Neurospora crassa OR74A: one gene and its partner. The protein of the gene in region 1 binds, or shares a complex with, the protein of each later gene. Links are inferred from orthologs where the notes say so. Each region holds a gene or a part of one and is shown on either strand. Other genes may lie near its edges.

Region 1 (4,024 bases):
TCCCGTCCCAGATATCAAATCAATTGCGCCACAGCCAGAGACTCAGATCACCTTCCAGGCCAGCCCAGCGAGCCAACAGCCAGAAAATATCGAGTTTCGAAACTTGTCAGTATGCGAAGCAAAAGCAAAATGAGGGCGGACTGGTGATATTCGAATGATGGCAGAATGATGGGACGCCGTCACGCGTTAGATGGATTGATAATGTGTCGGTTTTCGCTGTGGTATCGTGAAGCGTCGTCGCAGGTCACGTTCGGCTCAGATCGGCGGTTGTCGTTCGGTGCGCTGATGGAATGGTAAAGGATCGCAGCAAGCCTGTCGCAAATGGTGAGCGACGCGGCGACGCTGGGAAAAGAGCAGAATCGATGAATAGAAAGCCGGCTGATGCAGTTGTGATGGCCAACTGATTGATTCGCCGTGGTGTCGCGGACTGAAAGTTTTGCTGGAGGAAGAAATGAACGGGAGGGTTCGGGGCAGCTGAAATGGAAGTGGCCCACGGAATGTCATACGCTGGCGCCTATTGAATGGACGGATACAATGACTAAGCAGCCTGTGCATTGCAGGCAAGTGTGGTGCAGTGAAGGAAGCTCACTCATCGGACGTTTGAAGGAAGCGAGACGGGACACGGGTGCCTCCCCACTTTTCAAGTTGCGCCCGTGCCCTACACTGATGTATTCTACATACACTATGTAAATGACTAAGCCAATCACCCCGGCACTGGCGGCCAGCCGAAGACTGCTTGGCAGTGACTGGCAGTGGAAAACACCATCCACCAGCAGAAGCCCAAGGAAGCAAAGGTACCAACATAAATTTGATGATACCCATACTAAATCGGTGAAAGCATGTCGGTATGACCACACACGCAGGCTTTGAAATTACCTCTGGTTTTCCAGTTTGTTCTTTGTTCATTTCCCCTTCAATATCACGATTGCGGACGTTCAGGCCGGGTTATCGCAGGGTGCGCATTGCATTGCTGCAGGAGCTGCTTGCGCTAGGTGGGGAGGATTGCATGATGATGATGATGACAATGTTTCTTGCGTTGACAAGTGAGCAGTGGGAGCTTGGTTCCGTGTTACACACCCGCGAGGATAATGGCCAGACGCTCGACGATATCGTTGGATCATTCGAAGCAAATGAGCCCACGATCGTCAGAGTTGCGCAGTCCCCTCATTTTATCTGTGGCTCTTTTCTCTTTCTTTGTTTATACGTCCAGCTTTGGCCACCCGACTCTGATATTGTTGTAGCACTGCTGCACGACAGAACACTTTTCACGATTCTCCACTCTGCATCTAGGTACAAACACCCGACTAGAGGTAGGTGTACAGAACCCAGCGGGCACCTTGCTTCCATTTCCATTTCCACTTCCCCTGTTCTTACACTTACAGAGCCGCTACAGTAAAGTCCTTTCCCGCAAAGTGGAAAATGGAGCGGTGCCCGTTACCTCTAGCATAGCGTACCGGTATTTATCGGGTCCAGTCGTACCTACATACCTACCTGCCCTGTAGGTACACTACGTAGAACTACATACACTACCTAGCCGCGGGAGTGTGGCTCCTCCATCGGCCCATCCCGTCGGTTCGTCGTCGGGTCACTTTCATCATCGCTTTTCCGTCGCTCTCGGCTCTGGCTTGGTACTAAAGTAGAGGTACCTTTTTTCCCAAGTTTACAAATCCTGCCGGCCCCGCGTCAACCATCTTTGCTCTTCCTTCCCCAACTTTCCTACCTTACCTACCACAGCCTACAAGCACCTCTGTACTAAAACTTCAGACTACCATCATCGCACCACGGCAATTGGGAAAAGAGGATTTGACAGCTTTCTGTGGCCGTGCTCCGTTCCAATGTCAAAACCTCTTTACCAGCGATCGTGAGCTGCGCTTCTCACAGATAAATTACATACACGATTCGTCCCGACAACGTCCACGATTACAACATCGCCACCTCCAGTGACTTCATTCCAGACTCCCCACGTTTAGGCAAGCCACCGCTATTTACCAATTCTATCTGGAGTCGGCCATCCGCCCGAGCCTACCTAGCTTCGAACCGTGCTTTCTATACACATCCAGCCCTAGGAACCAGTCATCCGAAACTCGAGTGCTTCATAGTCCCATTGCTGGACAAGTCGATACGTACCGAAATCTTCCATACGGCACTAGCAACGATCCTCACCCTCTTCCTCGGTCAAAATGGTTCTCACGCACACTACCAACCATACTTATAGCCATCCTTTCCCGACCGTCACGCTCGCCTTCTTCCTCCGGTACTGCTCCCCGCAGCTCAATCCCTTTTCTCAGCATGTCATGAGCACCGACACCCTTTCATCACATGTCGACCCGGCCACCGGCCGTCTGCACACGACTCGCATCCACCTCAAAAAGTCGCGTATGCCGCCTGCTATCATGAAGATGCTCCCCACTAGCATTACGGGTGGTGCCACGACCGAGAAGGCGTCCTATATCATGGAGACCAGCGTTGTGGATATGAAGGAGGGCTGGATGTCGACCGAGAGCCGGAACCTGAACTTTGCCGGCGTTCTGTCGGTGGTGGAGAAGCAGATCTATACGATCCCAACGAGCACTAATGAGATTGGAAATACGACCGACGTTGCCACGACGGTGGTCTTTCGATCTCGCTTTGGGGAGCGCATTCGCGACAAGTTGGGACACTTGCACGCGCATGAAGTTGAACAAGAGAAGGGCGGCTTCTTTTCCCGGCTTGGCGCCCATGGTATTCAACGAAGCATCGAGAGCCTGGCGTCGAAGAAGACCCAAGACCAACTTGGCAAGAGCCGAGAGGGAATGAAGCTGATTCTCGAGCGACTTCGCCAGTCGGGCATCATGGGCGTCCTGGAGCTCAGAAAGATGGCACGGGAACGCAACATGGAGAAGGCTTGAACGAATTACCGAGCTAGGGCTATAATGACCATCTAGGCCTTCGGTCGTGCTCTGGGGCCTTTCCCCAAGCTTATGATTTGTTTACTTGCCCTTGCCACCGTCTTTGTCCACCATTGGGCATCATCAAGACGTATCCGACCCTGTCCTCTGCTCAATCTGGGCAAAAAAGTCTCGGTGGAAGTACGCGGACGAAAGACGCATCTTTTCCACGGCACCGCAAGACGAGTTAGGCCACAATCTCTGTGAGCTGTCTTTCTTGGTGTCGTGCTGTACACTACAACATTGTCGTTGATTTTAGCATGGCGTTGGTGTAAGGTTCTGTGTTGTCACTGGGTCGCATACGATGAGGGAAGTCATCCTCACGACACGCTCACACGCGAGCATATACCCGCGTACCCATTCTTGAAGTTTGTGAAGGAGGGGGCCGGCAACTACGGCGTCAGCCAACTGAATGAGGGGACTGCGTGTACCCTATGTGTTATTTTATTCCACTCTCTTTGTGTTGGTATTGGTTATGAAAAAGAAACGGTTTTAGCAATGAATGTCTCACTGATGTGTATTGTGTATGTATATCGTATAGGTCTTAACGGAAGGCTCAGAACTGATCGTGCGAAAGGAAATCGAATAGGAGACATGATGAAGACGTTGAAGACGTTACAACACGAGCGTGATGCATTACTGTTCAGCATTTCTTGTCAATCTTGTTTTCTGGCAAAGTTCCGTTTCTACAACGTGCTGACCGGTTTCCAGCGCAACATGTAGAAAATTTTTGATCGTTTTGAGCCCCTCCTCATTTACCGACTGGTATCGAAACACTTCATCCATCATAACCTTCATCACCATTACGCCCCCTTCACCTGACAAACCTGCCCCTTCCACCTCCATGCTGTTTCCCCGTCTTACCCGGGGACTGACTCCAGCTCTGAGGCGCCGTCCCCTCGCCCAAAGGCTGCTGGCTCTGCGGCGCATCCGGGTCTGTCGTGAATGGGACCGTGCAGTTCAAGCAGTTAACTCTGCCCAGCAAGAACTCTAGCTGCCTGTACGCCGCCGACGGCGCATACTGCGGCACCATGTGGCCCGACATGTCGATCTGGACCCAGGTCAAGCCTCGCTCGCTGCCCATGGATCCAAACACG
Region 2 (3,012 bases), on another chromosome or scaffold:
CCAGGATGTGTCTCACCTTGACAATGTTGGGGTTCGCAAAAACCTCATTCAGAACCTCAAGCTTGTGCCTCCAAGGTTGAAGAGTATCAATGACCCAATCCTTCTCTCTGGTACTGATCTGCATGAGAGACAACAGTCCGGTGTAAGACCTAAAATCGTGGTGCTCCAGATCAAGCGCAATTTCCTTGGCCTGCTTGAGCTCCTCCAACATCTCCAAGACGCCCTCATAAGTATCAACCCAGATGGCGGATGTCGAATCGATAGGAAGGTACTCCTTGGGTTCGCGCTTCTTGTACACATGCTCAGGGTACGGTGTCGTCTTGATCTCGGTTTCGTAGGGGTGTTTGTATCTGGGAGATTCATGTTAGCGACATGCTCTTATGATATTGGAAAGAAAGGTTAGACGTACTGTGTGTTGTTGTCATCATCGACAAAGGTGGTCAGGCTGTCTTCCAGTGACACCTTGGCATGAGGCTTGGACGACAACAGAGGCTTCCAAGGACCGGTAGCGAAGTTATCGACCTTCTTCTCGAAGTTATTCTGTGGTTTGAGAATGTTGGCTCTCTTCAAGGACCAGTCAAGACGATCGTTAGACGACTTGACGCGTTTTTGGGCGCGGCCCTGGTCGGCGGGGGTAGGCGCATCCTTCCGCTTGATCAATCCGGTGTACTCGTCGAGGCAGGTGTCGGCTTTCTCGAGCAACGAGTCGATCACGTCGACAATGTTCCGCCATTGGATGTCCACGTCGTCGGCATCTTCAAGAGCGCCAACCTTCTGGCCGGTAAGATTCGCGGTCGACTTGAGGAGCCCGTTGGCCAGGGACAGAAGGCGGCCGGAGCTGTTGTCGAGTTGACCACCGACAGTCGGGTTGACGGTGCGCTGGAACTGAAGATCCTCGCTGGCGATTGAGTTGGCGGTTCGGGTCGTAGCGACCAGGGCGGCTTGGAGCGATTCCCTCAAGCTCTTGAAGTCCAGTGAGCCGTCCATATTGGCCGGTGGTTCTGGAGTCGTTGTGGTGTGGACGTCACTGGAAGTGGAAGCCCGGTTCAATTTTCCAAAAATGGTTTGTCGTTCTGCTGCTCTTTGGGAACTTTTTTTGCGGACAGTCCCAGCATGTGGCTTGTGGAGAAAGCGCCAAAGTGAACGGGACCTCGAAAAGTGGAAGCTGCCCGATGGATGCCATCAAGTGGGCCTCGAGTGAGCTGTTCCCGCTCTGCGCTGGTAGAGGTACCTGATGGCCCATGCTGGGAAGTAGAAGCACTAAAGTAGAGAGACTTTGGGCAGCCGATTACATAAGGCCAAGGGGGCGCTTGCCAAGAGCCAAGATTGTGCTGATCTGGACCACCAACGTTCGTTCATCCATCGGCGTCCAGGCTTTTGAGATCCGTCCTGTGACGAAGTGGAAGTCCGCAACCCCATTGTTGAATAGCACCTGGTACTTGTTGGTTTCCAAGCGGACTCACCGGTGAACGTTGATATTTGAGATTCCGTACAACCGTCTTTTCCACCAAAAATATTCACCTGGAGTATCTCACGAACACCCTTCTATACGATCTTTTGCCCAAAACATAGATATACCGTCGATACCCATAAGTCATCGGACACCGTACCAAGCCTATCGTTTTGTTGGCAACACCTACGGTTGAAAACATAGCTCTGGACTTTAAAGATGTCCCAGTCACTCGCCAAGGAATGCAACGAGGCCAAGGAGTAAGTTTTTGTCCTTCATACGGAAAGAAAACAACATCTTAACCAGTTGTAGACGTTACGACACTTGCTTTCTCAAATGGTACAGTGAGAGTAAGTCTACAGGAACAGACACCCCAACTCAGTGGACATGTGTGATACTTATACTGGACAGAATACCTTAGGGGCAATGGTACCGAACAAAATAACGAATGTTCAATTCTCTTCAAGGAGTATAGCTCTTGCCTGCAGGTAGGACGCAAAACCATACAGCGCCCGTACTCTAGCATCGAGATAGCTTACCATATGGCATTTTACAGGTTGCTTTGAAAGAGCGTGGCATCGACAAGCTGCTTGAAGAGGCGCGGGAAGAACTCAAGGACAGCGACTCAACATACATGGGCAAGAAAAAATGTGAGTTTGAGCTTACGAACATGGCCAAAGTTGAAAGGATGACTGACTTGCTCAGAATACCAGAGCTGGACGACGTCTGAGTACCTTACTGTACCACTCGTCGACCAACTCCTTGAACAAAGCCGCAACAATCCAGTTATTCTCCTTACATTGCTCAATTATCTCTTCTCCGTATATATCATATATCGCCTGGTATTCGTGGAAGGACTTTCCATTATGCACACCCTCCATGTCTTGAACAAAGCCCATGTACCAAAAGTGTCACCCGCTGGTCTTTGACTGTACCTTTCTGATTATATCTTCTGTTGAGTTGTTTTCAGTGCTCTCTGTTATGGACGGAAGCCATGGATGACTTCAAGTCGGTTGAATGTTCCCCTTCCAAATAAGGTTTCCCGTCCTTGAGAAGTGGATCCTCCCCAACATCCAATCGGTTCATTACAGAGTGCCGTGCAGTCGCAGCCAGGTCGGGTTGCGCTCGGGGACTCTGGCTTCTGGGCGCTAGAACTTAGAACGCTCCACACTCCCTGTAATACTGCCTAAACTGCTTCGATAAACTTCAGCGCGAGTCTGAGCCGAGTCTGTCCACCACGACACGACACATAACGCATCTGATCGCCCTGCTCCCCCGTCCCCGTCCCAAATCAACAAGTTTTCGGCTTCCCGTTGTGCTTCCCGTCAGTACCAGCTTTGCCCGACTTCGACCTACCTAATCCAACCTCTTCGAACCGTCGAGTATTGTTTTCCCCCTCCCATTACAGCGCCCGCCAATTCCTCATATAACCGCACCCACTATCCGCCCGCATTTCCTCTCCCCACACAAGGGAAAGTGACATCGGACTACAGCATCTACCGGCCCAGACTTTTGCCGCGATCGCATGCTCGAACAGTAAGGGGCAGCGCGCCTCTATGCAC

Evidence for each region. Proteins that work in one complex are often made in the same cells at the same time.
Region 2: the proteins of NCU06719 (region 1) and NCU17251 are in contact, whole or in part, in a crystal structure (PDB 4XHR), measured with the Saccharomyces cerevisiae proteins. The link is inferred for Neurospora crassa OR74A from reciprocal best matches to the Saccharomyces cerevisiae genes UPS1 and MDM35. Residues at the interface, in NP_013294.1 of Saccharomyces cerevisiae: Phe15, Ala16, Ser19, Arg20, Phe23, Asn24, Tyr26, Pro27, Leu35, Ser36, Ile37, Asp38, Thr39, Ile40, Ser41, Arg42, Val44, Gly48, Asn49, Leu50, Arg51, Thr53, Leu55, Trp77, Ile79, Val81, Ser82, Val83, Val84, Pro86; in NP_012870.1 of Saccharomyces cerevisiae: Ser6, Ala7, Ser8, Phe9, Lys17, Tyr20, Phe24, Asn25, Trp27, Tyr28, Ser29, Phe32, Leu33, Val38, Trp46, Tyr49, Thr50, Val53, Leu57, Gln60, Ile62, Ala65, Leu66, Glu68, Ala69, Arg70, Glu72, Pro74, Phe75.

What each region holds. Positions count from the first base shown.
Region 1 is NC_026505.1:4,379,018-4,383,041, forward strand, and holds NCU06719 (MSF1 domain-containing protein), read left to right. Parts: upstream 1-1,224; 5' UTR 1,225-1,310; intron 1,311-1,382; 5' UTR 1,383-2,180; coding exon 2,181-2,888; 3' UTR 2,889-3,609; downstream 3,610-4,024. Other genes in the region: NCU06720 (carboxypeptidase cpdS), read right to left, coding at 3,742-4,024. UniProt on the Saccharomyces cerevisiae protein: Required for maintenance of normal mitochondrial morphology. Required for PCP1-dependent processing of MGM1.
Region 2 is NC_026507.1:3,164,592-3,167,603, forward strand, and holds NCU17251 (hypothetical protein), read left to right. Parts: upstream 1-1,349; 5' UTR 1,350-1,669; coding exon 1,670-1,710; intron 1,711-1,762; coding exon 1,763-1,800; intron 1,801-1,861; coding exon 1,862-1,938; intron 1,939-2,006; coding exon 2,007-2,100; intron 2,101-2,155; coding exon 2,156-2,157; 3' UTR 2,158-2,512; downstream 2,513-3,012. Other genes in the region: NCU02256 (exosome complex exonuclease Rrp6), read right to left, coding at 17-350, 410-987. UniProt on the Saccharomyces cerevisiae protein: Involved in mitochondrial distribution and morphology. Mediates the import of UPS1, UPS2 and UPS3, 3 atypical mitochondrial intermembrane space (IMS) proteins lacking the two major IMS-targeting signals, into the intermembrane space.